Mus musculus: one gene and its partners. The protein of the gene in region 4 binds, or shares a complex with, the protein of the main gene of each other region. Links are inferred from orthologs where the notes say so. Each region holds a gene or a part of one and is shown on either strand. Other genes may lie near its edges. The genes, in order: Lsm6, Gemin5, Crnkl1, Snrpg, Cwc15, Snip1 and Sart1.

The links.
Region 1: Snrpg (region 4) and Lsm6 share a complex: the UniProt entries of both Homo sapiens proteins name them as parts of the U4/U6-U5 tri-snRNP complex. The link is inferred for Mus musculus from reciprocal best matches to the Homo sapiens genes SNRPG and LSM6.
Region 2: Snrpg (region 4) and Gemin5 share a complex: the UniProt entries of both Homo sapiens proteins name them as parts of the SMN-Sm complex. The link is inferred for Mus musculus from reciprocal best matches to the Homo sapiens genes SNRPG and GEMIN5.
Region 3: Snrpg (region 4) and Crnkl1 share a complex: the UniProt entries of both Homo sapiens proteins name them as parts of the minor spliceosome. The link is inferred for Mus musculus from reciprocal best matches to the Homo sapiens genes SNRPG and CRNKL1.
Region 5: Snrpg (region 4) and Cwc15 share a complex: the UniProt entries of both Homo sapiens proteins name them as parts of the minor spliceosome. The link is inferred for Mus musculus from reciprocal best matches to the Homo sapiens genes SNRPG and CWC15.
Region 6: Snrpg (region 4) and Snip1 share a complex: the UniProt entries of both Homo sapiens proteins name them as parts of the minor spliceosome. The link is inferred for Mus musculus from reciprocal best matches to the Homo sapiens genes SNRPG and SNIP1.
Region 7: Snrpg (region 4) and Sart1 share a complex: the UniProt entries of both Homo sapiens proteins name them as parts of the U4/U6-U5 tri-snRNP complex. The link is inferred for Mus musculus from reciprocal best matches to the Homo sapiens genes SNRPG and SART1.

Annotation. Positions count from the first base shown.
Region 1 is NC_000074.6:78,818,353-78,822,500, forward strand, and holds the start of Lsm6 (U6 snRNA-associated Sm-like protein LSm6), read right to left. Parts: upstream 2,801-4,148; 5' UTR 2,696-2,800; intron 1,734-2,695; 5' UTR 1,635-1,733; intron 1-1,634. UniProt on the Homo sapiens protein: Plays a role in pre-mRNA splicing as component of the U4/U6-U5 tri-snRNP complex that is involved in spliceosome assembly, and as component of the precatalytic spliceosome (spliceosome B complex).
Region 2 is NC_000077.6:58,144,540-58,148,039, forward strand, and holds part of Gemin5 (gem-associated protein 5), read right to left. Parts: intron 3,470-3,500; coding exon 3,288-3,469; intron 1,994-3,287; coding exon 1,854-1,993; intron 982-1,853; coding exon 810-981; intron 1-809. UniProt on the Homo sapiens protein: The SMN complex catalyzes the assembly of small nuclear ribonucleoproteins (snRNPs), the building blocks of the spliceosome, and thereby plays an important role in the splicing of cellular pre-mRNAs.
Region 3 is NC_000068.7:145,924,701-145,928,200, forward strand, and holds part of Crnkl1 (crooked neck-like protein 1), read right to left. Parts: coding exon 3,421-3,500; intron 2,247-3,420; coding exon 2,076-2,246; intron 1,000-2,075; coding exon 808-999; intron 75-807; coding exon 15-74; intron 1-14. UniProt on the Homo sapiens protein: Involved in pre-mRNA splicing process. As a component of the minor spliceosome, involved in the splicing of U12-type introns in pre-mRNAs.
Region 4 is NC_000072.6:86,370,268-86,374,339, reverse strand, and holds the start of Snrpg (small nuclear ribonucleoprotein G), read right to left. Parts: upstream 2,801-4,072; 5' UTR 2,758-2,800; coding exon 2,726-2,757; intron 1-2,725. UniProt on the Homo sapiens protein: Plays a role in pre-mRNA splicing as a core component of the spliceosomal U1, U2, U4 and U5 small nuclear ribonucleoproteins (snRNPs), the building blocks of the spliceosome.
Region 5 is NC_000075.6:14,507,119-14,510,618, reverse strand, and holds part of Cwc15 (spliceosome-associated protein CWC15 homolog), read right to left. Parts: intron 2,769-3,500; coding exon 2,650-2,768; intron 420-2,649; coding exon 290-419; 3' UTR 1-289. UniProt on the Homo sapiens protein: Involved in pre-mRNA splicing as component of the spliceosome. Component of the PRP19-CDC5L complex that forms an integral part of the spliceosome and is required for activating pre-mRNA splicing.
Region 6 is NC_000070.6:125,065,251-125,069,471, reverse strand, and holds the start of Snip1 (smad nuclear-interacting protein 1), read right to left. Parts: upstream 2,801-4,221; 5' UTR 2,720-2,800; coding exon 2,520-2,719; intron 1,466-2,519; exon of another isoform or gene 1,383-1,465; coding exon 1,280-1,382; intron 1-1,279. Other genes in the region: Dnali1 (axonemal dynein light intermediate polypeptide 1), read left to right, coding at 3,874-3,954. UniProt on the Homo sapiens protein: Required for pre-mRNA splicing as component of the spliceosome. As a component of the minor spliceosome, involved in the splicing of U12-type introns in pre-mRNAs. Down-regulates NF-kappa-B signaling by competing with RELA for CREBBP/EP300 binding.
Region 7 is NC_000085.6:5,378,704-5,382,203, forward strand, and holds part of Sart1 (U4/U6.U5 tri-snRNP-associated protein 1), read right to left. Parts: coding exon 3,483-3,500; intron 3,369-3,482; coding exon 3,258-3,368; intron 3,051-3,257; coding exon 2,963-3,050; intron 2,598-2,962; coding exon 2,507-2,597; intron 2,414-2,506; coding exon 2,278-2,413; intron 1,825-2,277; coding exon 1,735-1,824; intron 1,639-1,734; coding exon 1,517-1,638; intron 1,433-1,516; coding exon 1,414-1,432; 3' UTR 1-1,413. UniProt on the Homo sapiens protein: Plays a role in mRNA splicing as a component of the U4/U6-U5 tri-snRNP, one of the building blocks of the spliceosome. May also bind to DNA.

The DNA of each region.
Region 1 (4,148 bases), on a different chromosome or scaffold from region 4:
ATGCAGTGTGTGTATCAAACTGTATTCACCCAGTGATATATATTAGCCATGTTAGACTCAGTCTCCAAAGAGACTTTAAAAATTCAAGAGGACAAGAAAAATCTCACTTCTCTAGTAGTCTTGGCACCTGAACAGACTGTGTGTGGAAGAGGCATTCAAAGATGGTATCAGAAAGTCCAATCCCTCCCTTACCCGTCTACAACCATAGCTACTAAACAGGCATGGCTACTAAAGCATCATGCACGCACTTCAACAGCTACGAGCCTGCAATTCTTTTCTAACAACCATTAAATACTAAAAGAAAGGAAAACAGAAATGCTTGGTGGTCAGAGCCAAGCCTAGGAAGAAGCCTGGTCACATACAGATTTCTGACACTTACTCAGTGTTTGCTTCTTACTGCATGTTTTTCTCGTTTGTCTTATGTAGTGGGGCGGGGCAGAAGCAGCTGCTCCAGCGTGCATATGATGTCAGAGGTCACCCTTGCGAGGTGTCCAGGTTTGGCCATGAGTGCCCTGACAATTGGGTTACTTAGGCTAACTCCTAAAAGCAAGCTGCTCTCAACCAGAGGTGACTTTTGTGCCTCACCCTGGGGACATTTGAAAATGTCTACAGTCTGTACTGTCACTACAGGAGAGTGGTAACTAGGATCTAGTTTACAGAGGTCAGGGATGTCCCTCAAGACTCTACAGTGTACAGCAGTGGTTCTCAACCTCCCTAATGTGTGAGCCCTTAACACAGTTCCTCATGGTATAGTGAGCCCAACCATAAGGTTAATTTTATTGCTACTGTTATGATTTGTAATGTAAATCTCTGATATGCACATGCAATTCCCGAGGAAGGGTCGCCAGACACCCCCAAAGGGGCTGTGACCTTGGGGTGGGAACTGCTGGCTCAGAGGACAGCACTCTACAACGAAGGACTGAGTGGTGGGAGTGGTTCAACACGTCAGCTGACAGAAATGCTGCCAGGGAGCCCTAGCCACCACCTCGTTCCCTCTCTCTCGGTTTTCTGGCTTAAACACCACGGGATTTTAGGAAAGGCGAGCCTTGGCGTGAGAACCAGATGCTGAGTAGGCAAGCCCCTCTGTGTCTGTGGGTTTAAAGTGTTTACGGATCCAGCCAACCTTGCCTCACCTGGTAAAATGAAGCTGTAATTACTTGTCCAGCGGTCTCTCTGCTACCCAGACACAGACTTTCCCCTTGCTGTACTCCCTAAGCAATACTCTACTGCAACCAGTGACATTAAATGGCACGTTGTGAGTAATCTAGAGATGATGTGAAGGGCACAGGAAGACTGCACAGTTTATATGTAAACACAGAGGAAACCTGAACGTCCATGCACTTTTCGGTACTGGGAGGGATAACAGTAGCACTTATCAGAAGTATCTGATCCCAACACGGGGAAGCTGGAAGCAATCGTCAAAGTCTTGAAAGGGTTGACCTTCAAAAAAATAAATAAATTTCTAGTGCTGAACACAAAAATGTAACTTTTCTATTTTCCAGTCCCTCAATCCAAAAGTAGAAAATAAGCCAGGGAGTTAAAAACAAAACAAAACTTTCTTTAAAGAAGTTCTATTATCTAGTAGGCCACCCTTCAGTGAGAGAAGAGCTGCTGCAGTCGTTAGGGGTACTCACTTGGGAGGCAGGAAACCTGAGTTCTAATCTCTGCTACTTAATTATCTGTGCAGCTTGCGTAACTCATCACCATTTCACCTGTCACGGCCCCAGGCTCATCTGCAAAATAAGGAAGTTAGGCTAGATGGGTACTGGCTGTCTCTTCCTGTTCCAGCATCTGATTAACATGTGCAGTCAGTCAGTCAGTCTGTCTCTCTGTCTGTCTCTGTCTGTCTGTCTGTCTGTCTGTCTCTCTATCTCTCTCTCTCTCTCTCTCTCTCTCTCTCTCTCTCTCTCACACACACACACACAGTCACAGCCTGCAAGTTCAAACTCCCAATAGTAATTCCAAAGTGAGGCTGTGCTTTGCTACTTTAGAACCACAGTAGGCCCTTTCACGGTTTTGAAGAGCCAAATAAATTACTAACACTTTAAGAAAAACCAGTCTCGCAATGTGCAAGAACCATCTATGCTAGTAATTGAAAATTTGAGGAATAGAAGTTAAGGCATCACGATATCGTTCGGGATGCGAAAATGAAGCAAAAAACTCACACCCAAAGACGTCAGCCTGGGAAACAGCTGAATAATTTATGAGATCCACACAATAAAACAGGGGGCCCAAACGAGATCAATGAATTTTAAAATCACAACTTGTCTCATTTTAATGTAAGTATAAAACTAAATACTGGTGTGTGGTTAAAAAACTTGGTGGTCTTAGCTGAAACAGAAACAGGCCCACACAAGAGAAAGGGAGTTGGTGTGCCGAGGCCGTCAGCAAGGACCATTTCCTCCGCTCGTCTGTATTTACTTTCCGTCGCGCAGGGCTCGCGGGTGGAGGAGGGCGCCGAAGTCGCGCGCCACCGTAACCCTGGGCGCTCACCCCAATCGGCGCGAAGCGCGCGCGCCACGGGAGCGCGCCCGGCACCGCGAGCCCGCGTGGCCCAGACCAGCGAGCATCTCCTGGGACGCAGGCCCGGCTCGAGCCGCTCCCCGCCAGCCCGGACCATCCGCGGCCTACGCCAGCCGCTCCCACCCGGAGTGCCTGCCCGCACCCATTCATTCCTCCCAGGCCGCGGGCTCACCTTGCAGCCGGATCCAGAACGCTCACAGGCCGGGCTTCCGCGGACGCGCGCGCCGAAAACCGAAACCGCCCCCGGCAGCGGCTTTCCCATCTCACCCAATCAGCGTCCTCCTTGCCTATGGCGACCCGCGGGGATCAAAAACAGTCAGAACGCGTTAGTGAGCTGGCTTCCAAGACCGGGTTTGTTTAATGGTACCGTCGGCACCCAGCCAGGGCTTGAAGTAAAGGTCCGATATTCTGATATTCTCTCTTTTGCCAGAAAATAGAATACGAAAGCAAAACAACCAACCAAGAGCTAGAAGTGATCTTGTGTGTGTGTGTTTACAGTAAAGAACCTTAAAATATTAAGAAACGGAAACTTACAGTTAAAACGATGGCTGTTGAGCACCCCGAAATAGCCTTAAATAATTTAAAACAAATACAAGTTAAAAGCCTCAAACCCTCAAACTAACTTCTGCATATAAATTAAATGTATGAAGAGATTGTTTCCATGGGAATGCTGAAACAAAAAAATAATTCAAGCAACTCTGAATTATAACGGCATCAATTAGAAAACGTTACAAATTAGTTTAATTGGAAACTGCATGCAGATACTATTTAAGTAGTGTATGGGAACTTGGTTAGGGATACTTCATGAATTCTTAATGCATGCTTTTTATTTATGGAAGAAAAAAAGTCACAGGAAGACAATTTCTTCTACCCCCACGATCTCTTTATATTTTAACTTATATTTTATATTTATATTTTAAATTTTAATTCTGTTTCTGTTGTTTAACATTCAACAAAGTTATAATACCTTCAAACAACAGCTACATAACCCTGATAAGTGTTACAGGATCTAAGATGCAGAATTGTTTTCTGAAACACAAAGTGGATTCCTCCTTTTCTACGTGCCTTTGATTGATATCCTGGACAGTGATCTACCTGCCTTTGGTTGATACCCCAGACAGTGAACAACTGGGTGGAATTTGGAAAAGAACAGGAACATCCTTCTGTCTGTCTGTAAAATTCCAGTTGATGTCAAGACCAAATAATTACAGACATTGATCAAACAGCATTTTAGGCTCTTGAAATATAAAATTAGGAACACAGGTAAAGTCACATTTAAATCAAAGAAGGAGCACGCTATGCCTTGTCCCTAAAATAAAAACTGCTTTATAGGTCAAATTGGGGGCTGAGGATTTAGCACAGTGGTAGCATATCTAGTGTGCATGAACATCTCTGGCACCACAGCGGTAGTGGCATAGTGGCGCTCACACCTGTAATCCTAGCACCCAGGCATGCGTGCAGGAAAATCAGAAATTCAAGATCATCCTCAGCTACAGAATGAGTTTGAGACCAGCCTGGGCTATTTGAGACCTTGTCTAAAAAAAGAAAAAAGAAAGAAAAATCAAATTGTGCTACATACTACATTTCTTACTGACTGTAATTATGATATGCGTATTATATAGAGA
Region 2 (3,500 bases), on a different chromosome or scaffold from region 4:
GCAGGCTGGCCTTGAAGAGGAAAGATCCTCTTGCTTCTGCCTCCCAGGTGCTGAGATTAAAGGCACATGGCACTATGCTGAGCTTTGTGAGAGATTTTCTGGATTGGATCTGAAATCAGAAGAACCATCCACACCTGGGCCACACCTCCGGGCCTATATAAAAGGCCATGGAAAACCTTTGCTTTTGACCACTTGTCCTCACTCTCGTCAGCATCAGAACCTACTTCTTTAGGATCCAACACAGACTGAAGACCAGCAGCTTTCTGGGAGTCTTCCCAGACTCTAGCACTAGATTGCAACTGCTGAGCAGTCTTGTGCACTGAATAGCTACTACATCTTTGGCCTTTCCATCAGGAGTCAACTGTTATCAGACTATCCAGACCACAGCTTGTAAAACACTCTAATAAATCCTGTCTGTGTGTTTCATTCTATCAGTTTTGTTCCTTTAGAATCCTGAGTAACCCCCATCCATTGTCAGACATCTTGCTGCTCCCCCCTCAATTCAACTGTCTGTTTGTTTAGCAAGGTCCCTTTTAAGTTGATCCCCATACTTTGATGTGACTCAGTTCTCTGAGTACATCTTTTCTTTCTGGCATAAGATGTTGTAGGTTCTTTCATTTCCCAGGGTTGCCTGACAACCCTGGTAAGAGTTCAGCCATACTTGTTACAATTTGGCAGTGCTATCCTTGGCCCTGTAGGTTACTGACCCATCCTACAGATGCTAGGTGGGTTCAGAACAATTACTAAAGCAGAGGAAAAGAAAATCAGAAACAACAGTGTGTAGGCTCTCCAACTTCTTCTAAACCAACCTTGAGGAGGCCGGGAATGGTCCTGCATGGAAGTCAGCCACCTGTAGACACAGAAGTCATCTGCACCTGAGTAGATGCATTCTGGATCCACTGGGGACCACGCGACACATAGCAGCCGGCCTCGATGTCCTCGGAAATTGAACAAAGGTTCTTCCCGGAGGGCATCCCACACCTAAAACCACAGCAGTGGACAGAATGGACAATTGCTGGTTATTCTATTGTTCTGTGTCATTATTTGCTCAGTTACAAATACACTCAAGATGGGCTAAGGCATTCATGTGACAACACCAGCTCCCAGGGGAGGAGCATGTGTGAGAGGCATTCCTATGGAAATGATCCACTGCTGCTCTGTGGACCACATTATCTCAAACCAGAATTGTGTTAGTATTTGTCCTGGGGAGCTGGCGCCGTGGCCCACACCTACAACCCCAGCATGGATAGTTGAAGCAAGAGGCTTAAAGCTTTGAGCATAGGATCATGAGACAGTTCAGTGGAAAAGACACTTGCTGCAAAAGTCCGATGACTTGCGTTCAATCCCCTGGACCTACATGATGAGAGGAGAACACCAACACCTACAAGTTTTCCTGGCCCCTCCCCACCTCCAGCATGCACACAGACTCGTACTGTTTCTATCTCTGTCTCCGTCTTTGTCTTCATCTCCACACCCCCCCTCATGCATGTACATACCTATAAAATAAATGTAATTTTAAAAAACCAAACCAATACAAAATACCAAGAGTCTTAGCACAGCCTACCTTACACAGCAAGACCCTGAAGCAAAGGCCCAAACAAAAAAAGTGCCTATAGTTAACTGACATCTTCATGTTGGTTTGGCTGAAAGAGACTTTTGGGCTACAGTGTCTACAGAGAGTAATCAGAAGGCAGCACACTGACTGTAAGGCCAAATGTATGACGGAACTACAAGGTCTTCTGGCTCCTCCTTTCTACAGACAACAGAAGGGGAATGAAAAGAATCCCAAACAGGGAAGAGGACATTAAATCAGACTACACAGTGAAGGATCCTGAATCAAGGACACACAGTACCTGAGCTGTGCCATCGTAGCAAGCAGATACCAGCCTTCCGTCATGATGTGGGCTCCATGCCAGACTGGTAATCTTGGCTGTGTGCCCCGAGAGGGTGCGGTAGGGCTCTGTGATGGTTATTGGAGACTCAGGATTGCTTTCTGAAGGGAAAGGGGGAGAAGTCACAACAACAGTCACAGGAAGGGTGCATAGGAAGATAGAACATGACAGGAGGCAAGGCTTTAGTCTTTCTCAATGACCAAGAATTCTCAACTCACTAGATTATAAGAGCCACAGGATCAGGGAATTTGCTGCCAGATTGTGTCTCCTTTAAAAGACCATGAGGTCTCATCAATATGGCTGCCCAACCATGACCTGAACAAAGACGACACCACTAATGTAGAAGGGAGAAGGCTCATGATGCCTACACAGACAAAGAACTACATGCAACTTAGAAATACTGAGAGGGAGACACAGCCTTCCCCAGGAAAGAACACATCAACTGGTAATCCAACATCAAGTCATCAGCCCTGAACACATAAACGTAAAAGCAACACTATACAGACTGGGCAGGTAACACTTACACATTTAGGAATATGTGTGTGCAACAATGATTAAAAAAAAAAGAGCCCAAGATTTGAAAGAGAGCAAGGTCTGTACACAGAAGGGTTTGGAGAGGGAAGGAGGAGGAAATGACATAACTGCATTATAAGCTCAAAATTAAACAACTGTTAAAGATGAATGCAGCTCACTGACATCTGACATGCAGGCCACCATAGGAAATGTGCTACACAAAGGCACCGACTCTAAAGCAACCTGTCCTGTACATAATTACATTCACACAGGACTTTAGATAGTAAGAGATTATCTGGAGCCACTCGTGAGAAAATACTAGATAAAACAACCAAACAACTGTTCTTGTTTCCAGTTACCACCAATTCCTTTACCTGAAAAAATCTGACATTTCTTGGTAATATGGTCTGCTCTGCTGATATGGTGACAGATTACCTCATCTTAAAAAAGGGAACGGGGTGAGGGAACTGGAGAGATGGTACAGTGGTTAGGAGTAAAGGCTGCTCTTCCTGAGGTCCTGAGTTCAATTTCCAGCACCCTCAGGACAGCTTATGACCATCTATAAAGGGATTGATGCTTTCTTCTAGCATGCAGGTATACATACAGCAGAGCACTCATATACATAAATTAAATAAATAAAATTTAATAACAACAAAGAACAAGAAAACCCAACTGATCTGTGAAGTCTCTATACCTACATTTAAAGGTTCTTTCCCTGGGCACAGGACTGCAGATTATAGTTGGACATGAAGTACAAGATGCAAGCCAGCACTCAGAAGGCACAGGCAGGAGGATAGTGCTCAAGGCTACAGGAGGCCAGCCTGGGCAACATGAGCCCGGCTCAAAACTCCTGCATCATCCCAGCCCAGAAGTCAGTGTTACCTAGGACTGCTTTCAGGTTGTGCACGTAGATGACTGCATTGTTGGAGCCAGAAGCAAGGAGACAGCTCAGCTCTGGACGGCTGCCATGCTCATGGTGCCAGACTATGGCGTTCACAAGCTTGTGGTGCTGCTGGATGGTGCACAGCAGCCTCAAGTTGGGGACTTGGAATATTTCTATTGATCTGGAACGAGACACAGCAGGACGAGAACGAT
Region 3 (3,500 bases), on a different chromosome or scaffold from region 4:
CCCAGCAAGTGTACCTTTTTGTGAGGAATTAGTTCCAAAGACGCTTGATATACCTGTCTTGTTCTCTCGGGATCCTGCATTAAGATGATAAATAAATAAATAAAGTTAATGCTTATTTCATCAATTAATTTCATGCCTGTAGTGAAAACAGACCTCCATTTCTCAAGGTGATATTTTTAAATATTGATCTCATTTATGATAAAAAATAGCACCTACTTTTGATCATCAAACTTTTTTCTAAGAGTAACAATGTGGCTATCAAAGTTTGAATGCACAATGTAGAGAGGCCTTAGCCTGCCAGCAGATAGTCTCAGATGAACAGAAGACAGTCTTTACCCATTACCTACTTCTGGAAATGCCACTTGATTTTTACCAATCTGGCCATGATCTTTATTTGTGATCAAAGACATTATTAGGTACTATATGTAATTAAACTGCTTCACTGGTCCACTGTTTTAAATGCTAGCTACCTTACTGTACCTCAACGTTTTAAGATAAAACACCATCAAGTCTTTTTTTTTTTTTTGATTTTTCAAGACAGGGTTTGTCTGTGTAGCCCTGGCTGTCCTTGAACTCAAAGATCCGCCTGCCTCTGCCTCCTGAGTGCTGGAATTAAAGGCGTGTGCCACCACGCCCGGCTACCACCAAGTCTTAACAGGCATAGTTTGAATGATTTAAATCGATGGATTAAAAAAAAAATTAAAACTGTCTCAAAGATTGTAGCTATCAGTTACTATGCAGAGCAGGGCAAAGCCATGATACTGGGTAAGGAAGGTACTCACGGCTGCCCCACATTCACCTTCTCACCTTGGCTTCCAGCTCTTCATAGAGTGCATAGTTAACCCAAAGGTAGATGTAGCGCTTCCAGTGTCTCTTCTCCTGGATGGGTGGCACATTGGCAATGGCTCTCTCATAGACTTCCCGCACAGTGTCAGCTTCCGCATCACTTTCCACCAAGCGTAAATAATCAAACCATGCATCATAATTGTGTGGATTAGCCTAGAAAAACCCCCAGCTTAATCAATAAAAACAGAACCAAGAGCCAGACTTCACAGGCTGTCAGAACTGTAAGGAAACATCAAACTTGCTATATTTTAGCACTTTTTCCCTTAAGATTTTTACCTGCTATCTCTATTTAAAACATCATCCCTAAGATTGTACAAAAGGAACATAAAAGGTTGCTGGCTAGGGACCTTGAAGCAGAGACTCTTTCCTCTGCTGTCATCATGTAACAGAACTGCTTGATAATGACATTCCATTGTTTCTAAGACAGGGTCTCACTCCATATCCTAGGCTAGCCTTGAACTCATAATTATCTTGCCTTGGCCTCCCCAGACCTGGGACTACATAGGCTTGAGCTACTTACTGTATATAGCTTTGAATTTGTATACATGTATTTTTACACATATGGCTGTATACCATTATGATAATGAAATTATAATGGGTATATATCAGACTCTAAATCAGGGAACCCACCTTTCAAATAACAGTAATTTTTTTTCTGAACACATTTTACTGACCTACCACTTTACTTAACACCAGACTTAGTCCTTTGATAGAAGTTATCTCAATCTGACTAAGCAAAAGATATACAGAACAGTGAGAGAAAATCCTGCTACCTTTGACTGAAGTCAAAAGGATATATTACAGAGATAAGAACAGAACTGCCTATTGCAGGTCTCTTGCTCATGCCAAGCAGGTGTTTGGAACCATCTCTGACCCTCCCATCCTTTTCCAAAAATGAGCTCAAATATATGCCGTATTTCTTTTCATGCATGGACTTGATATGAAACCTAGGCTGGCCTCAAACTAACAACTTTTCTGCCTCTATCTCCCAAGTGCTAGGATCCACATTTCTTCAGTTTGCTATCAGTTAAAGGTCTTTGCACCTGGGAATGGCATAGTAAATCCAAGTATGGCTTGCTCTTCTTCCTACCAGCCACATTTACTCTAGTTTGTCTGAAACAGCTGTCAAGTCGGCTAAGGCGTCATCAAGAGAGTAATCAGTAGCCCCACTTGCTGGTATGTGCGCAGGCCAGAGAGCTCTAACATGAACCTTCTACAGCAGTGCCCACCTTCACTTCTTCTTCATACTGGAACCTCCGTTTGCTCACGATGATGTCTTCTATACCCCTCCGGTCACCAAACTTCTTCTCAAAGATGGTATAGTTTTTAAAGAGTTCTTGGGCCTCTTGTTTTGAAATCCTATCCAGGGCATATTTGTAGATAACTCGTACCCTTTCAAACTAAAAGAAGGTAGGAAGATTATCATCTAAAACATAATCTCATTTTACTCACACCTTGAGAATAACTGAAACTTATTACTTACAAATTAAATTTTGAGGCCCTCGATCAGAAAAGATTCATATTTAATAAAATAGTTCTATATTTAATAGTTCTACATTAACATTTCCCTATTTAGTACTGTCATAAACCTTCTCCATCCTGGGTCCTCTCCCAGGCTGGTAGGCAACATCTCCACGGCATGCCTGCTCACGCCCAAAGCCCCATGAGTCTGCTTTGGTTCCTCTCGTGCTCTCCTCTCCTTCCATGACTCTTTGAACAAGTGTCAATCTATTTTTATCTCTTCACTATTGCCCTTTTCTCCTCTACCCTGCTGCTGACCCACCTTCTTTTCTAAATCTCATTGGATTCCCTGGTTTTACCACCTGCCTCCTTGGTAGGTAGTGCTGATGATCAAACCCAGAACTTGACTTGTGTTCCCAAGTGCTCTCCTACTGAGCTACATCCTCAGCCTTCCCCTGGCTTCACTCTTGCTATGCCCCTACCCTTCTCCAAAGTACTTTCATGAACTAGCCAGAAGCTCACTAAAATATTGTCCAGTCACAGTCCCACTTAAAACCTTCTAATCTGTGCCTCCTAGAGACAAGCTGACCCCTCCAATTCTGACGCCTTCTTTTCTGTGTACACCATGGAAGAAAAGAACTGGCTTATTTGTGGGACAATCTGTTTCCATTCTACATTATCTCCTTTGCTTGGTTGCATTGGTTCTTTGCCTCCCAAGCTCACTTATCTATAAGACCCTTGAATCAGGATACCAAATGACTCTTCATCAGGTTATACATGTACTTCTGTGTTTCCGAGAAAGGTCTATGTACTGTGCTGCCTTCAGAGTCATGCTTCTACTGCCTCAGCCTGAGTCAGTCCTCAATTTTGTGAGAGTTGGGGTTGGAGACATGTGCCAAGACACCTAACTCCAGGTATTCATCTTTAAAGACGTAATTTTCACACAGAGCAGAATGAAATTAAGACAGTTACTGTAATGATCACTCAGCTCCAATGTAGAGCTCAGCAATACATGCATTCAGTTCCGTATTAAATTATGGTTTTTCTCTAGAAAACATTTTCTCTATGGATAAGCAAATAAAATGAAACAGAGATGAACTCATTGTGACTTACTTCTTTCTGGTTTTCCTCAAATTTAGCAAAGGCCACATAGAGGTGTTCGTCCATATGCTCATCCCCAAAAAACTCCACCG
Region 4 (4,072 bases):
TTTAAGACAGTGTTTCTTAGCTACCCTGGTTTTGTAGTTCTTTGCCTCAGCTTCTCAAGTAGCAGACATTACATGCCTATGCCACCAGGCTGAGCTTCATTGAATTGTTTTTTGTTTTGTTTTGTTTGTTTTGGTTTTTTTTTTGAGACAGGATTTCTCTGTATAGCCCTGGCTGTCCTGGAACTCACTCTGTAGACCAGGCTGGCCTCAAACTCAGAAATCCACCTGACTCTGCCTCCCAAGTGCTGGGACTAAAGGCGTGCACCACCACTGCTCGGCTGCTTCACTGAGTTTTAATGTATAGACCATGATAGAATTTAAATATAAATTTAAGCCATAAGAATCTGAAGGTGGAAATAGATTTATAAATAACATTTATAAATTACTAGGAGTTATTTTGTAAATCAACAGAGGAACATATTTAACACTTACGATTCCGGTACTATTATTACCATGTTATACAGATGGAGAACTGACATTCAGTGTGGAGGTTGAATGAGAATGGCCTCCATGGAGTCACTTATGTGCATGTTTAGTTCGCAGCTGATTAAGTGTTTGGGAGGATTAGGAGGTGTGGCCTTGTTGGAGGAGGTGGCACTGGGAGTGAGTGGGCTTTGAGGTTTCAAAAGCCAGCCTAGTGTCTCTCTGCCCTGCCTGCTGCTGCGGTTCAGCATGTAACGCTCTCAACTACTGCCTGCCTGTTCTTCCATGATGATCATGGCCTCTAAAACTGTACGCAAGTCCCCATCAAATGCTTTCTTTATTATAAGAGTTGTCTTGGTCACGATGCCTCTATACAGCAAGAGGTCAGTAACTGAGACACTAATGTGCAGAAAATTGTTTTTAGTCATATACCATGCAAAATATGGCTGCTGGACTGCAGATGGGGTGGGGCTTCAAAGCTGGGTTAGGAAGTCTGGACTTGACTTTGTGGTGATATAAACTAGTATAGCAGAATTCATCAGTGGTTAAGACTTTCTGTGGCAACACATTTTAGGAGTTGGGAGGAGCTCAACTTTGAAACTACTGAGACACGGGACCAGAAATGATTAAGAACTATGGAGTTATGCTAAACTAGGAGTGAATAGCTGTAAAAGGAGGTGTTTATGAGAAAATAAGGAGGCGGATCTAAAAGTATTTCAAATTTGATAAAATGTAGGGATGAGAAAAAGGCATCAACTCAGAGAAGAGAAGTTCAGTGACAAAGTAGCTCACACAGGCTCTGCTCCAAACACGCCAATAAAAATATGGACACAATCACTAGTTCCAGTCTCTGAAAGGCCCAAGTATATCTGTTAAGAATCAGAGGACACTGAAGATTACAGGTAGGGAACAGTGCTTTTGTTCAAAACCAATGCCATTTTGCCAATTCCTGCTAAATCCAGACCTCATTTATTAGCTCATCATCAAAACAAACAGTGCAGAATAACTTCTTTTTAAAATGTCAGACTTATGGCTTAATACATCTTTATTATGTTGTGTTCTGCCTATAGGCCTGCAAGCCAGAATAGGGTACCAGATCCTATTACAGATGGTTGTGAGTCACCATGTGGTTGCTGGGAATTGAACTCAGGACCTCTAGGAAGAGAAGTCAGTGCTCTCAACCTCTGAGCCAACTCTCTAGGCCCGGTTTAACAGATTCAGATTCAAACAAAACTGCAGGGGTTTCACACAGAGGGCTTTGATTAAAATGTGCACTCAAATACAAAAATCAGCAAATGTTGTTATCTTTCCCCTGCATTGGGGTCTTGACAGAACTTTACAGTAGCAAACAGGCTATACACAAGACAGATTATTTTCTGGCTACACCAGAAAAGACCCAGTATTAATCTTGTATTGAGCAACCCAATGACTATGTGCATATGCGACAGGTTCAGGCCAGTCAGAAGTGTCTGAGACCAAAGGGTCTGTCTGATTTTACTGGGTACAGAATAAAATTCTTCAGAAATTAGCTCTTTACAAGTAGAAAATGGATGTCCTTCCATGGATTTATTGCCAGAGCAAGATATTACACAACGTTTAAATGTAACTTGAATACAAGGACAGTGTATCAGAAACCTAGTTCTTGGGGCTGCAGATGGCCCAGCGCTTATTGCTTGTCCAGAGGACACGAGTCCAGCTATTATTAACCACGCCAGAGGGCTCACAACCTCCTACAAGTTCTGTTTCTGCAGATCCAATGCCCGCTTTGGCCTCCGCAGGAGCTGCACCCACGTGCACAAACATATAACTAAACATGTCTCTGAGCACCAAAAAGGGGAAAAAAAAACCCCAAAACTAAACCTAGCTCTCTTGATGAACGCAAATGAACGCGCACATTTATTGAAACACAAAACGCTACCTCACCTTAAACTTTTTGAGACACAGTGTCTTTTTTTTTTTTAAGCCTAGGCTGGTCTGGAACTCGCGGTAATTCTCCTGCCTAAGCTTCCTGAATATTGGCCCCATAGATCACAGCCAATCACGTCCGACTCCAATCGATCATTTTAAGCCCACGAGTCTCCGGTTCCTCACAACCATGCACCTCGACCGCTGCCCTGGTCCCCAACCAGGTTGCCTTTGGCTGCCCGCCTAGGAGAGCCCCAGCTTTGGGAAGACAGAGGCACCGGCACTGCAGTAACCATGCCGACCGGACCTTAGCGCCACTTCCGGCTCCCGCGACCGTCGGGACCAGCGGCGGCAGCCCGAGCGAGACAGAAGTCTCGATAGGGCCGACTCTACTCACTTCTTCAGCTCGGGAGGGTGGGCTTTGCTCATGGCGACTCCTCTGCGGGCTCGGCACAACGGCGAAGGAGTGAGCAGGCTCAGAAACGCGCGCAAGGCAGGCTTGGCGCTGGTGTCTGACGTCACCGCCGCGCGAGCCAATCGCCTTCGGAGAACATTACCTTTCATCTCGCGATATTGATGGGGATGTCTGAACCTGCGGACCAGAGCCACGCTTCCGGTTGCGTCGCCAGTGACAGGCCACGACGGAGAGGCTGTGTTCGGCTAAGCTTCCTTTGTGTAAAATTGAAGTGGCAGGTCACTTTAAAAACAGACCCCTTCATTTATATTTTATGTATGAGTGCTCTACATGTACACCTGCGCGCCAGGGGAGGACCTCAGATCCTACTATAGATGCTTGTGAGCCACCATGTGGGTGCTGGAATTGAACTCCAGAGCTCTGGGAGAACAGCCAGTGGTTTTAACTGCTGAAGCGTCTCTCCAGCCTGTGTGTCACTTCTTTTCTTTCCTTTTCCCACTTACTACACTTTTTTTCTCTTTACATTTTTGTCATTTCCCCTGCCCCTTCCTCATTGTTTTTGACGTAATTCATGCTGGCTTCGAGTTCACTGTGTAGTCAACGCTGGCTTTGAACTGTTGCTTCCCGTGCTAGAATCAACGGCATCTGCACCACGCTGCCCTTAATTTCCTAAGCACATCCAGGCGAAGCCGAGGGCTCCTGAAGCACAGAATAGCTTGTCCGCATCAGTAGCAGGAAGGTGGCTAGGCGGATTCTCTTGAGGACGTGAATCCAGTGTCTGGGGTATTTCTGATTCATCAATTCTGCAATTCTAACGCTGCCTTCAGAACCCACTTAGCACACTACAGTCCATACATAAAAGCTGAGGAGTACCACACAAGTCCTGAGGTATTGAGCTTGCCCCTGCCTCCTGAGGGCTGGGAATAAAGGTGTGCACTCTCCCAGGGTGGTGGCACTGCCCTCAGTGCACTGGGCTCTCTCATGGTAGTCATTAATGACCCACAGACATGTCCAGAGACCTGTTAGATGGAAGCAGCTCTTCAATTGAGGTTCTCCTCATGATTAGTTTGTCATCAACAAAAAAATAGCACAAGAATGCTTAGCTATACACTCTCCCCACCACTTGCTGTGCTAGTTGAAACTAGAAAACGAACATGAATAATGATAGTCTTTAGCAAAGACTGACCTCAAAGCAGGAGGGAAATCCTCAGCTTGCCTTACAGTACTGAAATTACAGTATGCACCTTTTACAATTTAGTTATAATATGTAAGTACACTGTAGCTGTCTTCAGACACTCCAGAAGAGGGCGCCAGATCTCATTAGGATGG
Region 5 (3,500 bases), on a different chromosome or scaffold from region 4:
TTTTGAAAAGAAATTATGCAACTTTTTATAAGCTGTATAAATTGTAGCAAAAAGTTGGGGACAGTGGTTTATTTAGGTTAAAAATATTTATTACAAGCAGATTCCCCGTTTCCCATATTAAAAAGAAACTAAGGCCTGGTTAGATCCATTTCTAAACCCATTATCTAATAAAGTACTACACTAAGGGAAAGAGACTGAGAAAGTTAACACTGGGAAAGAACAGAAACCAAAAAAAAAAGTCAAATTGATCCTTAACAGTTTAGTTTTTAATTAAGCACATAAAACTATATTACTTAATATATTTCTCCATGAACTTCTTGTGAAATTCAGATCGCAGTGTATCATTTACAAATCGTTTGTCTTTCTTCTGGTCATCTATACCTTTTGCACAGTTCTTAAAAACGACATCATCATCCCATCTAAAGAGGAAAAACAAACAACAAATCTGTTATAGTTCATCAGGAGACAAGAACACAACAGACTATAAACCATCACAGATGCTCAACATGCTGTCACCAGACAGCAAAAGCAGCAGCATGCCTACTGTGTGGGGCTGTCACAGCAGGAGGGCATCCCCACTCAGAGCAGACACCACTTCTCCACTAGGAGCAAGTCAGTTACAAAGAAGACACACATAGATTGTGCTTAGGTAAAAGTGTGGTATTTTCAGATTTAAAACACAGAGGCAGGGCCACTTGTCCTGATCCAGACACCTTCAGACAGTAAGTGACCTGTTTACTGTGCTTTGTACAGTTTCATACATTCTCATCAGTTATATCTACCATGGCACACTTCATAATGCAAGGACGAACTACAGGAATGTAACAAGAAAGATTTATAGACCCATGGCTGCTGAAGTGTTCAGAGTAGAGCTCAGTTATATTTCAGAAAACATTAAACACACTCATCAGCAGGTGTTACGGGAAATACGTAGACCAGAGCTATGACCTTCTACATAAACATAAGCCCTTACATATAATAAAGACACTCAAAAACATGCATTAAACACAGCCCATGTAACATGCTTGCATGTGCTGGTGCATGACCACCAGGAGAAACTGCACAAGGGAAATGAGCAAAGCTATGCACACTTATGGAAACTATGTCAGTAAATTTGTCTTGATGCAGTACACACACTAAAAGCTGACCTGCTCAGTGTGACAGGGATACAAATGTTTTGTCTCATATGCAACATGTAATTGATAGCTTCTCTTCACTTCCTCGCTTGCTCCCAACACCCAAACTGCCCTGCCCCTCTGCAATGCTAAGATACAGTCCTCCCTTTCTGCACTTACATCACCATCCCTAGACCATCATCTCTCTCCTCTCCCAATACTCTGTGACTCTCTTGGCTGTCCTCTTCTCTGGCTGCTAAGTCTTAGCATAAGATTTTAAATTCAAATACTATGTATTATGCATTTACTATGCACTTATACTGGGCACTTCTCTAGTGCTGATACAATCTTTTGACTTCTCTCTGCCCACGCTGGCAACTCCCAGATGCATTATTTAATTTCTAGCTTAGACAAACTGCAGAGACACACAGGCTAGATTTACTTAAGAGATGTACAGAACACTCCAAACCTACAATGCCTCAAACCTGCTTCCTCTTTCACATTCAGCATAAGCCATACTCATCCTCATTCCTGCCTCGCAACTGCTCAGGTCAAATGAATAGAGACTGAGCTATGATAAATTGCTAGTTGTCAGCAACCATCTCCTTGACTGTACTATTGTCTTCAAGAATGTGGGTTAAAGTTTAGCTGCATAGGTCACTACAAGGGCTGTACTTTTCCTGTGATTGAGTAAAGAAGCCAATGGTTCTGGGATGAGAAAAGAGGCTGAAGACGGAGCTTTGTTCATGAAGGGTAGGTACTGAGTGAGTGAGCAGGAGAGTGGCAGGGCAGTGCTTCTTCATTGCCGTGTATGCAGAGATGAGGCAGTGGAGCTCCTCACACCCTCACACACACTACCCCTGCTCCTGTGAGGCATCCTCATCCGACATCGGTGTCCCTCTTCAGCTCTTTATTGTCCCCCTCTGCACACTGTACATGAGAGTTCCCTCTTGGGCCCCGACTCTAAGCGTAGCTTTGGTTAGTTAGCACTGGAAACCCGCACCTTCTCTCACCATCACTGTGCCTATAGTGCACAGGTTCCTACAGGACCACTCCCTTGAGACTCCTGAGTCTCAACTTTAGTTTCACTGTTTGGTGACCTCTTACAAGGAACAGGATTTTAAGGAAGCCTATATCTCTCCACCTTGTGACTTGGATGTATATCCATGAAGACTTACAACTGTATGATCTGTGTGTATCTTATAATATCAAACATGAATACCACCATACCAAGTCCCCTAAGTCCTTCTAGAATTGAATTGTGAGGGGTGGTCTTGGGGACCCCAACACTAACATCTCACGTAAAGCTTGGTAGCTACAGTCACTCTGGCTCTCTTATTTAGACAATCACTAAGCAGAGACTTGGCTATTATAAGTATGCATTAAAATGAAGTCTCCCACCTCTTTTCATCTTCCGTATTCTAAAATCTGATTGGGAAGGTTATCAACAGAAAGTGGGATCCTAGAAACTTTATAGAACACACGGAACACTAACCATGGTCACACACGTACACCAACCCATGACTTTTCGTACCTTCTTTTAACCTTGAAGTTGGCCTGAGGCTGGGACGGGCCAGTGAGGTTTAGGAGAGGGTTTCCACTCAGAATGTTTTCCATGCGAATTCTCTCTTCCTCTGCTTTTTGTTCTTGTTCCTGTCAATGACAGAGGAAGACACAAAGTTACTCTCTCCAGGTCAGCTGACCAATATTAGCCCACAATGAACTCATCTGGTACAGGGAGAAAAGATACTTTTCCTTTTTTTCTGTTTAATGACAGGGTCTCCAGCAACCCAAGCTGGCACGGGACTCGCTAGGTAGCAGAGGATGACCTTGACCTTCTGAGTGCATGGTAGGTGTGCAGGCCCCCATTTGCAGTGATAGGGATGGGGTGGTGCAAGGCCTGCTACAAAGCACTTTACCACTGACCCACTCCTCTTTTTGATTCTTAGTAAATGCCAGGAAAATCTTACTAATAAAACTTAAGCACGTTGCCATTTTTATCCCATCCTTGCCAATAGTCATTGGCCTCTCTAAACTGTGAGAAGCTGAGATGCTAGCAAGGTTGTTGTCTCACTTTTTAAGGGGCTACAGACAACATAATTCAATTTTGAGTTACAAACCATGTTAAGTTTCCATCTCTAGGATGAATTAGTTATTAACTAGGGAGTAATTCCTAAGACAAGACAAACTGTCATGTAAAAGATGGTCACATTCTAATAATATGTACTTCAATTAATTTATATAAAATATCGTTTGTTCTTATGCTTTATTGTTAGCGATCTATACCTTTCTTATATACTTTCTTCACTGTTACAATACTGTCTATATTTTTAAAAAGTATTTCTGTATATATTTAGCGTGTGTGCATGCATGCATATGGGTACC
Region 6 (4,221 bases), on a different chromosome or scaffold from region 4:
CCACAACACCTGCCTCTTTCGAGATGTTACTAAGGAATCTAGAAGGTAACTCTACAGTTAGAGCACTTTCTGTTCTTCCAGAGGAGCTGGGTCAGTTGCTAGAACCCATGAGGTGGCTTGCAGCCAGCCTTAACTCAAGTTCTGGAGACTCTGGTACTCTTTTCTGGACCCTGTGGGCACCAGACATACACAGTGCATACACATACATGCAGGGGCGGGGAAAGCACTCATACACATGCAAAAAAATACTATTTTTAAAAGATTTTTATCACACACACACACACTCTCGAACATTTACATAGAGATGGAGACGAAAGAACCAGAACAGCTAAAAGGAAAAAAAGAAAAAGAGGAGGGTGGTGTGGAGAGATGGCGCAACAGACAAGAGCATTGGCTACTTTTTCCAGAGGACCTGGGTTCAATTCCTAGCACCCACATGGCAGCTCATATGCAGCAAAGAGGACATTCAGTTTGAGACTTACTATGCAAGTGCAGTAATCGAGTCTGCATGGATAGACATATACCTGACTGAGTTTCAATGTGGGAGTAAAATAATTCAATGGAGACAACCAATGTCCTTTGAAAAACTGGTCCTAGCCGGGCGTGGTGGCACACGCCTTTAATCCCAGCACTCGGGAGCAGAGGCAGGCGGATTTCTGAGTTCGAGACCAGCCTGGTCTACAAAGTAAGTTCCAGGACAGCCAGGGCTACACAGAGAAACCCTGTCTCAAAAAAAAAAAAAAAAAAAAGAAAGAAAAAGAAAAACTGGTCCTACAGCACATGGGCACTCACAGACCCAACGTGACCCATCTGTGCTGGTTTCAACAGCACCAAGGACAATCTTCTAACCTAAAGACCCTGGGCTTAAGTGTGCATCCAGAACAATAGAAAGAGAGAAGCGGCCAGCCAGGAGGTAAGGAAGGATAAAGGCGGAGAAGTATCAGACATCATGAGGCACCTTGATGGTGGTGAAACGTCTGTGTCCTGACCACGACACTGTCCAGCTGTGCGAGAAGTTGCCATTGAGAGAAACATGGATATGTACATCTCTCCGTATTATTTCTGACAAGAGTTATCAGAATCAAATCAACAATTGTCTCCAAACGTTAAAATTTCAGGAAAAACAGCCCCAAATACATATCCCATTTTTAGAAAAGCCCACTGCAGTGACAAGGAAGCATGTCCACACCTGGCTGCCAACCTCTTGGGGTTCAGCAACAGCTCTGGGCTGGAGCTTTCCACCCATGGTCCCTGCCCACTCACTCACTCACTCACTCACCTGCTTCACTTTGACCATGGGGTAGTGGGGACTCTGGCTTCTCTTGGTCCGTGGTGACTTGCTTCTTCTCCCAGAGGACTTGCTTTTCTTCTTGGCTGGGGACCTTTACAGAGAATGGTACACAGGATTTTTTACCTCAAAGTTCCTTCCCGAAAGTAAGTTAGCTTCCAGGATCAGGCTCACCTACTAAACACAACACATCTGTGAGATCAGTAGCCACAGCAGGCCTTCACTTCCCATAAACACTTCTCCCAACCACATACACAATGGCCTGCTAAGCCTTCTCACCTAGACAACCTTATTCTCCAACCCCAACGCCTCAGAAACCTTTCTTCTCCGGATGCGCCATCCTACTATCTGGCACTACTATCCAGGAAGCCAATCTAGCCTGGTTTTTTCCCTAACACAACTCCCTTCTCCAACAACCAAAACCAATCCCTTGGCAGGTCTCAGGGCCCTGCCCTGTCCTCCATCCCACATCCTTCCTACCAGCCTACAATGCTGCTCCATCTCTCAATTCCAGATATGCTGGCTGTTTTGTTTTTGTTTTTGTTGCTGCTGTTGTTCAACTTCTAAAACAAACAGAATTCCAGCTCAGGTTCTATGTATATATTTTTCTGTCATAATCGTGCACGCGCCGTGTTTGTGTGTATACACTCAGAAACCTCCTGTCTCAGCATCCCCTCTGCTGGGTTACAAGCATGCCCGACCACAGTGGGTTGGTCCTTCCTGGAGTCTTTGCTAAAAGACTCTTGACTCAAGAGAATGGATCAATCCTACCAGCCAGGTCTCCGTTAAGGAGCACCTCTGTACAAGCCCTCTCTTTTTTCTACCCAGCCTCTCGCTACCACACTGCCGTTTTGATCTGTCTTTAATACTGACTGAAATTATCTATTTGTTGTTTTCCTTCTTCGAGTTAGAGCCTGCCCAACTTCGCCAAGGAAAAAGCATCTCTCTTCTTTGCCTTGTGACCCAGTACCTCCAATTGATCTTTAACCCACACTACGCACTCAATAAATCGATGCCACATGGAGGCATTGGCGAATGAGTGCTGCGAAGAAGTCGCCAAGACCCAACGTGTCTTTGTAGGCAGACGAGGGGAGAAGCCACTCGCACCATCCACTCGCGGGCAGGCGGGGGAAATCTCATTTCAACTCAACAGGTGCTCTGCACTCCAGAGCCGCTCGCACCACCGGCCCCCGCGCCATCCCGTCCTCCGCCCAATCACCGGCTCGCTTACCGGGCTCGGCTCCCGCGGTGACCCGAGTGGCCAGGCTCGGCGGCGGGCGGGGACAGGCTAGCGGCTGGAGCGTCGGGCCGGCGGTGCGCGACGGGTTCGGGGCTCAGACGCTCCTGTTTCACCACCACGGTCGTCAGAGCGTCGCCTGACCGGTGTCGCCGCCGGCCGCTCCGCTCCCGCTCGCTTTTCCCCGCCTTCATCCTGCGGCCCGACCGAGAGTCACTTGCACGGTCCGTTGAGCCACTTGAGCCGTAGGAAGTGACGGACAGCTTTGCACTTCCGCTTCCGGGCAGCGCGCTATCCCAGAAGCCTTCACGGTGTCGGCCCCCCTGATGGGCGGGGCCCCAGGTGTTTGAGTCTCAGACGCTGGGGACGCCGGCGCGAGTGGCCACGGGGTCCCCGCTGCTGGGAGGTGTGGCTGGAGTACTGAAAAGGCAGGGCCAACCCCCCGGGAGGCTGAAGCAGGAGGATCGCAGTAATTTCGAGGCCAACCTGGGCAATTTAGTGAAACTGTCTCAAAATCTGAAAAAGTTGTAGCTCGGATAGATCGCAAAGCTCTGAATTCATCCTCAGCACCGCCAAATAGAAATCAAGAGTTAAAAGGGGAGGGAAGGCTGAGATTGTAGCTTAGTTACCGAGCGAGCGTTTGCCTCGCGAGTACGAAGCCCTGGATTAGTCCCCAGAACCTCAAAAAAATATATATGACAATCTCCCCCCCCCCCCGTCATAGTCAGGTTTTCAGTGTACCCTGGCTGTTCTAGAAGTCACTCTATAACCAGGCTGACCTTGAACTCTGCCTCCCTCTGACTCCCAAATGCTGTCATTAAGGTGTGTGGTACCATCGCCCAGCTTTTTTTTTTTTTTTTTTTTTTTTTTTTTGAAAAAAGAAAAAAACCTGTGGGAAAGCTAACCCAGCTCTGTTCCTTGCGCGTTATTAGTAGTTACGAAACACAGACACTCAACAATGTGAAACTCTTTTTTGTTTCTTGAAATAGTGTCTCTATATAGCCTTGGCTGTCCTGGAATCCACAAAGATCTGCCAGCCTCTGGCTTCCAAATGCCAATCGTCGCCAAATACTCTATAGAGTCACTAGATGACTTCCGTTTTAATCAAAGGTGGTCTGTCCATTTCATCATAAACCGAAACAGACCTAACGCTAGGGGTCCAGTCTTCTTTACTAAGAAACTTAGTGCTTGCGGAGAAAGCACAGTAGAACAAAACTTGCACGCGGCCGGCACCGCCTTCCTCAGAGGCCCCGCCCCATCCATGGGGCAAGGAGAGGAGGGGTTTCCATGGTGATCGCAAACAAGACTCCACAGGGGCCGCTACGGAGTTGTTACCCCTACTGCCACCATGATACCCCCAGCAGACTCTCTGCTCAAATATGACACCCCGGTGTTGGTGAGCCGGAATACAGAGAAACGGAGCCCCACGGTATGAACAGGCGTCTCAGGGGACGCGAGATCCTACAAACTCCCATGGGGAAAAGACATCCCAGCTTTGAGGATCTCTGGAATTTCAGGGGACAGATTGCTGGGGCTGACAGCCAAGGGAATTGGGACAGGGATGGAGGTTGGGAGAAGAGAACAAGAAGCCTAGCTATGACCTTAGAGGACAAATTTAAGATGAGAAAAGTCACATGGAAAAGATGGGGTTTGTGGTAGTCAAGTCCAAGAAGAGGTCTGGTAGTGACTTACCTTC
Region 7 (3,500 bases), on a different chromosome or scaffold from region 4:
ATACAAACCTAAGTCGCTAACCTTCTCCACCCGCTGACAGCGAACCTGGGTTCCTGTCTGCCCTTGGCATCAAGTCTCCTGCTACTTGGTAGCCCCTAGGCCCTGCTCTCCCTAAGGTGTGGCAGCAACAGCACCAACCCAATTTCCTGAAAATAAGTGTGAGCTTTTAGTTAGGTGGTGGTGGCACACACCTCTAATACCAGCACCCAAGAGGCAGAAGCAGGTGGATCCTTGAGTTCAAGGCCAGACTGTTCTACAGAGTTCCATGACAGCCAGGGCTACACAGAGAAACCCTGTCTCAAAAAAGGAAACAAAAAAAGTGACCTCTGACCAATGGCCATAGCCAGTAGACACCATAATCAAGCACCTGAGACTTAGAGAAATGGACACTCCTGCACAACCATCACTAGCCAAGATCCACAGGCACAGCCGAGAACACCAACTGACCTCACCTCTTTTATGGTCAGTGTCTCAGGAACTGCTACCTAGTATCACTTATAAACAACTGGGTTTCCTGTCTCTTGCTTTTTTCTAGTTATTTGATACACTCACCAGAGACCCACATGGGGCTAGCTTCAGTAACTGACACAGGGCACTCATCTTCTGATTCAAAGTAGCCACCTGTGGGGCAGGGTCCTCCCACAGCCTGTGGCTCAGCAGGGCTTCTTCCACAGCGCCTTCCTAGAAAGCCCATCTTTCCAGGCACAGTTGCAGGCACCTAGCAGGGTGGCTCAGTCCTCGTATATAAGTGCACTCGAGGTAACCCCTACCCCAGTCCTGGGATGACCCTCATGCCTCCACAAATGCCACAGTAACACAGGGGACAGGAGGTAACATCTCTACCCTTCCAGAGAGCCTAGGCAATCCTTACTTAGTACCCTGAAAACTGTAACCAGGACAACACAGGGTGGTTAGTGGCTCTCTAAGGCCTAGCAACACGCATGTGACCAGTCTGAAAACAGCAATGATTTGGGATCAAGAAGCCAATTTGACCGCAGTGTGACAGGTACACGCCACTGGGTGGAGGGCTTCTGTTACAATGGAGTCAGCTCACAGAGGAATGTCCTCTGAGGGACCAGGCTGGTTTCTCACCTCCTCTGTTCATTAAATGGCCAGTCTTACAGGCAGAGATCAGACTTTAAATCACACAGGTTCAAGGATCAGGCCCATCCGCTCCTGGATAACCAGAGAGTGAACGAAAGAGCTCACCGGCGCCTCACGCATGAAGCAGGTGTTCTGACCACTCGGAAGGCAACACAGAAGGGCGAGGAGGCTCAGCGACTTGCCAGATGGCAGAACTGACCGTGACAGAGGCCTTGCCTAGGTCTAACCTTAGACAGCAGCACAACCAAGAGGAAAAATAAGGAGGGAACTTTATTTAACACTACATCTGGGCCAGGGAGGAGGGCGGCTTCATTTGGTGATGGTGTTCCTGCAGGGAGAAGAGGGTGGGCGATGAGGCTGTGAGACTGGAAAGGGGATGCAGTGCCTCCCCACCCCTCCGGCTCCTACTCACGCATTCATGCTCTTGCCACTGCCACTGAGCACGATATACGGTGTCTTCTGGGCCTTCTGCTTCTCCTGGAGCAGTGCCACGGTGCCCAGGGGCGTGTCACTGGAGCTCATTTTCTTCAGGAGCTGTGGGGCCACAGGAGGTCAGAACAGGGGGAGCAGGCCCAGCATATCACACATCACCCAAAAATGCAGAGCCCCCACCTCCCTCCCAAGACCCACCGCCTCCTCATCCAGCTTCTTCATCCGCCGCTCAGTCTTCATCTTGCCTGAGCCCTTTCCGTGGAAGCGGTGGGACAGCTGCCGGAATGCCTGGGATACAGAGCAGGAGCAGAGGCATCAGAAAGGCCAGGCAGCCGGGATGTGGGCGCACGCCTTTAATCCCAGCACTCGGGAGGCAGAGGCGGGTGGATTTCTGAGTTCGAGGCCAGCCTGGTCTACAGAGTGAGTTCCAGGACAGCCAGGGCTATACAGAGAAACCCTGTCTCGAAAAACCAAAAAAGAATCCAGGGTCCAGGGTGAGCCTGCCTCTGGGAGCTGGAGTTAATGCCAGCAAACATGGAACCAGCATACAGAGATGGGAAGCAGCAGGGGATGCTGGTAGGCATACTCAGGGCACAGGGCTTCAGCTGTGGCAGTCAGCACAGGTGTAACCTTCCTGACAGCCAGCCTGTGGGAACTTCAGTACTACGCCCAAAGTCAGCAACGGAGGCAGAATTCACCTCGTCACCTGTGGTCTGACCATCTCCACAAGACCCTGCTCACCTCCTTGGGAGTCAGTTTCCTGCCCGTCTCATCCACGTATTCAATCTTAACATCAGGCTTGTAGCCATCTTTCTCCTTGAAGTCCTGGGTGAAGCCCCTGTACTCCTCCCGTCGGCTGTACTTGTCATCAATGGCCCTAGACCAAGGCAGAGGGGCTCAGGGTGAGCTGCCTGCTGCCTACCCCATGTTCACAGCTGCTCCTATTTCATGTCGCCACGGCCACACTTACATCTTATCCTCGATGCAGTACACTGCTGAGGGCAGTGACTTATTGGGAGCCTTCACCCGGGCCACCTTTTGTACTGTGGTCTCCAGCAGTCCTAGGGACAGAGAAGTTTTGACACCCAGCTTCATACAGGTCCCTCAGAGCCCTGCTCAGGAGTTAAACATGCCGCATCTTTACGGACATCAAAGATCAGCACTTCCCTAAGGAGGCAGCACAGCTGGGATCTGGCCCCAGTGTATCCGGTTTAGCCCACTTCTGAGGCACGGAAGAGAAGCAGACCTCTCACCCCGCAGCAGGAGAGGCAGTGAGAGGCTCCGCGTCTAGGGAGCTGCTTGAAGCCCCGAGACTGAGGGGAAGAGGAGTGGAAACCCAGGACACCATACAGTACTCACAGGCAACCATCCAGCCCGTCCCGGCTATAGTACCCACACTGCCAAGGCTCCCACCCTGAGCCCACACCTTTGTTCTGACACAGGAGCAGGGCAGCAGCCAGCCCTCTGTTCACGATGGGCTCCTCATCCAGGATGGTGGTAGAGGAAGCAGAGAACTAGAGGTGAGAAAAGAGAAGTGTGAGCAGGCTGCCCCATCTCTTCTATCCAGCGGTCATCCTCACCAGGCACTAGGCTGTGGGACCAGTTTTAACTGACCCCCAGCTGGCTCTGGAAGGGTTAGTGCCCCTTCTATGGATGGGTGGAGGCTTTCAGGCACTGGACAACTAGCCTGGGTCCCCACACCCACGCCCACCGGTGCTCACATCCTGATGCTGCTTCTCCTCATCCAGGTTGACGGTGCTCCAGCCAATGTTCTCTTCCCCATCTGATTCAGAGCCACCGTTGGCCGAGCGCTCCTCATCCCTTTCAAAGTCCTAGGACCACAAGTCAGTGTCAGGGTGGGCAGCCTCAACCCTACCTGCTACATTCAAGCACTAGAAGCAGAAGTCAGCAGCCTAAGGACAACAGCCAGGGAACTGCTGACGTACCATGAGCTCTTCCTGCTC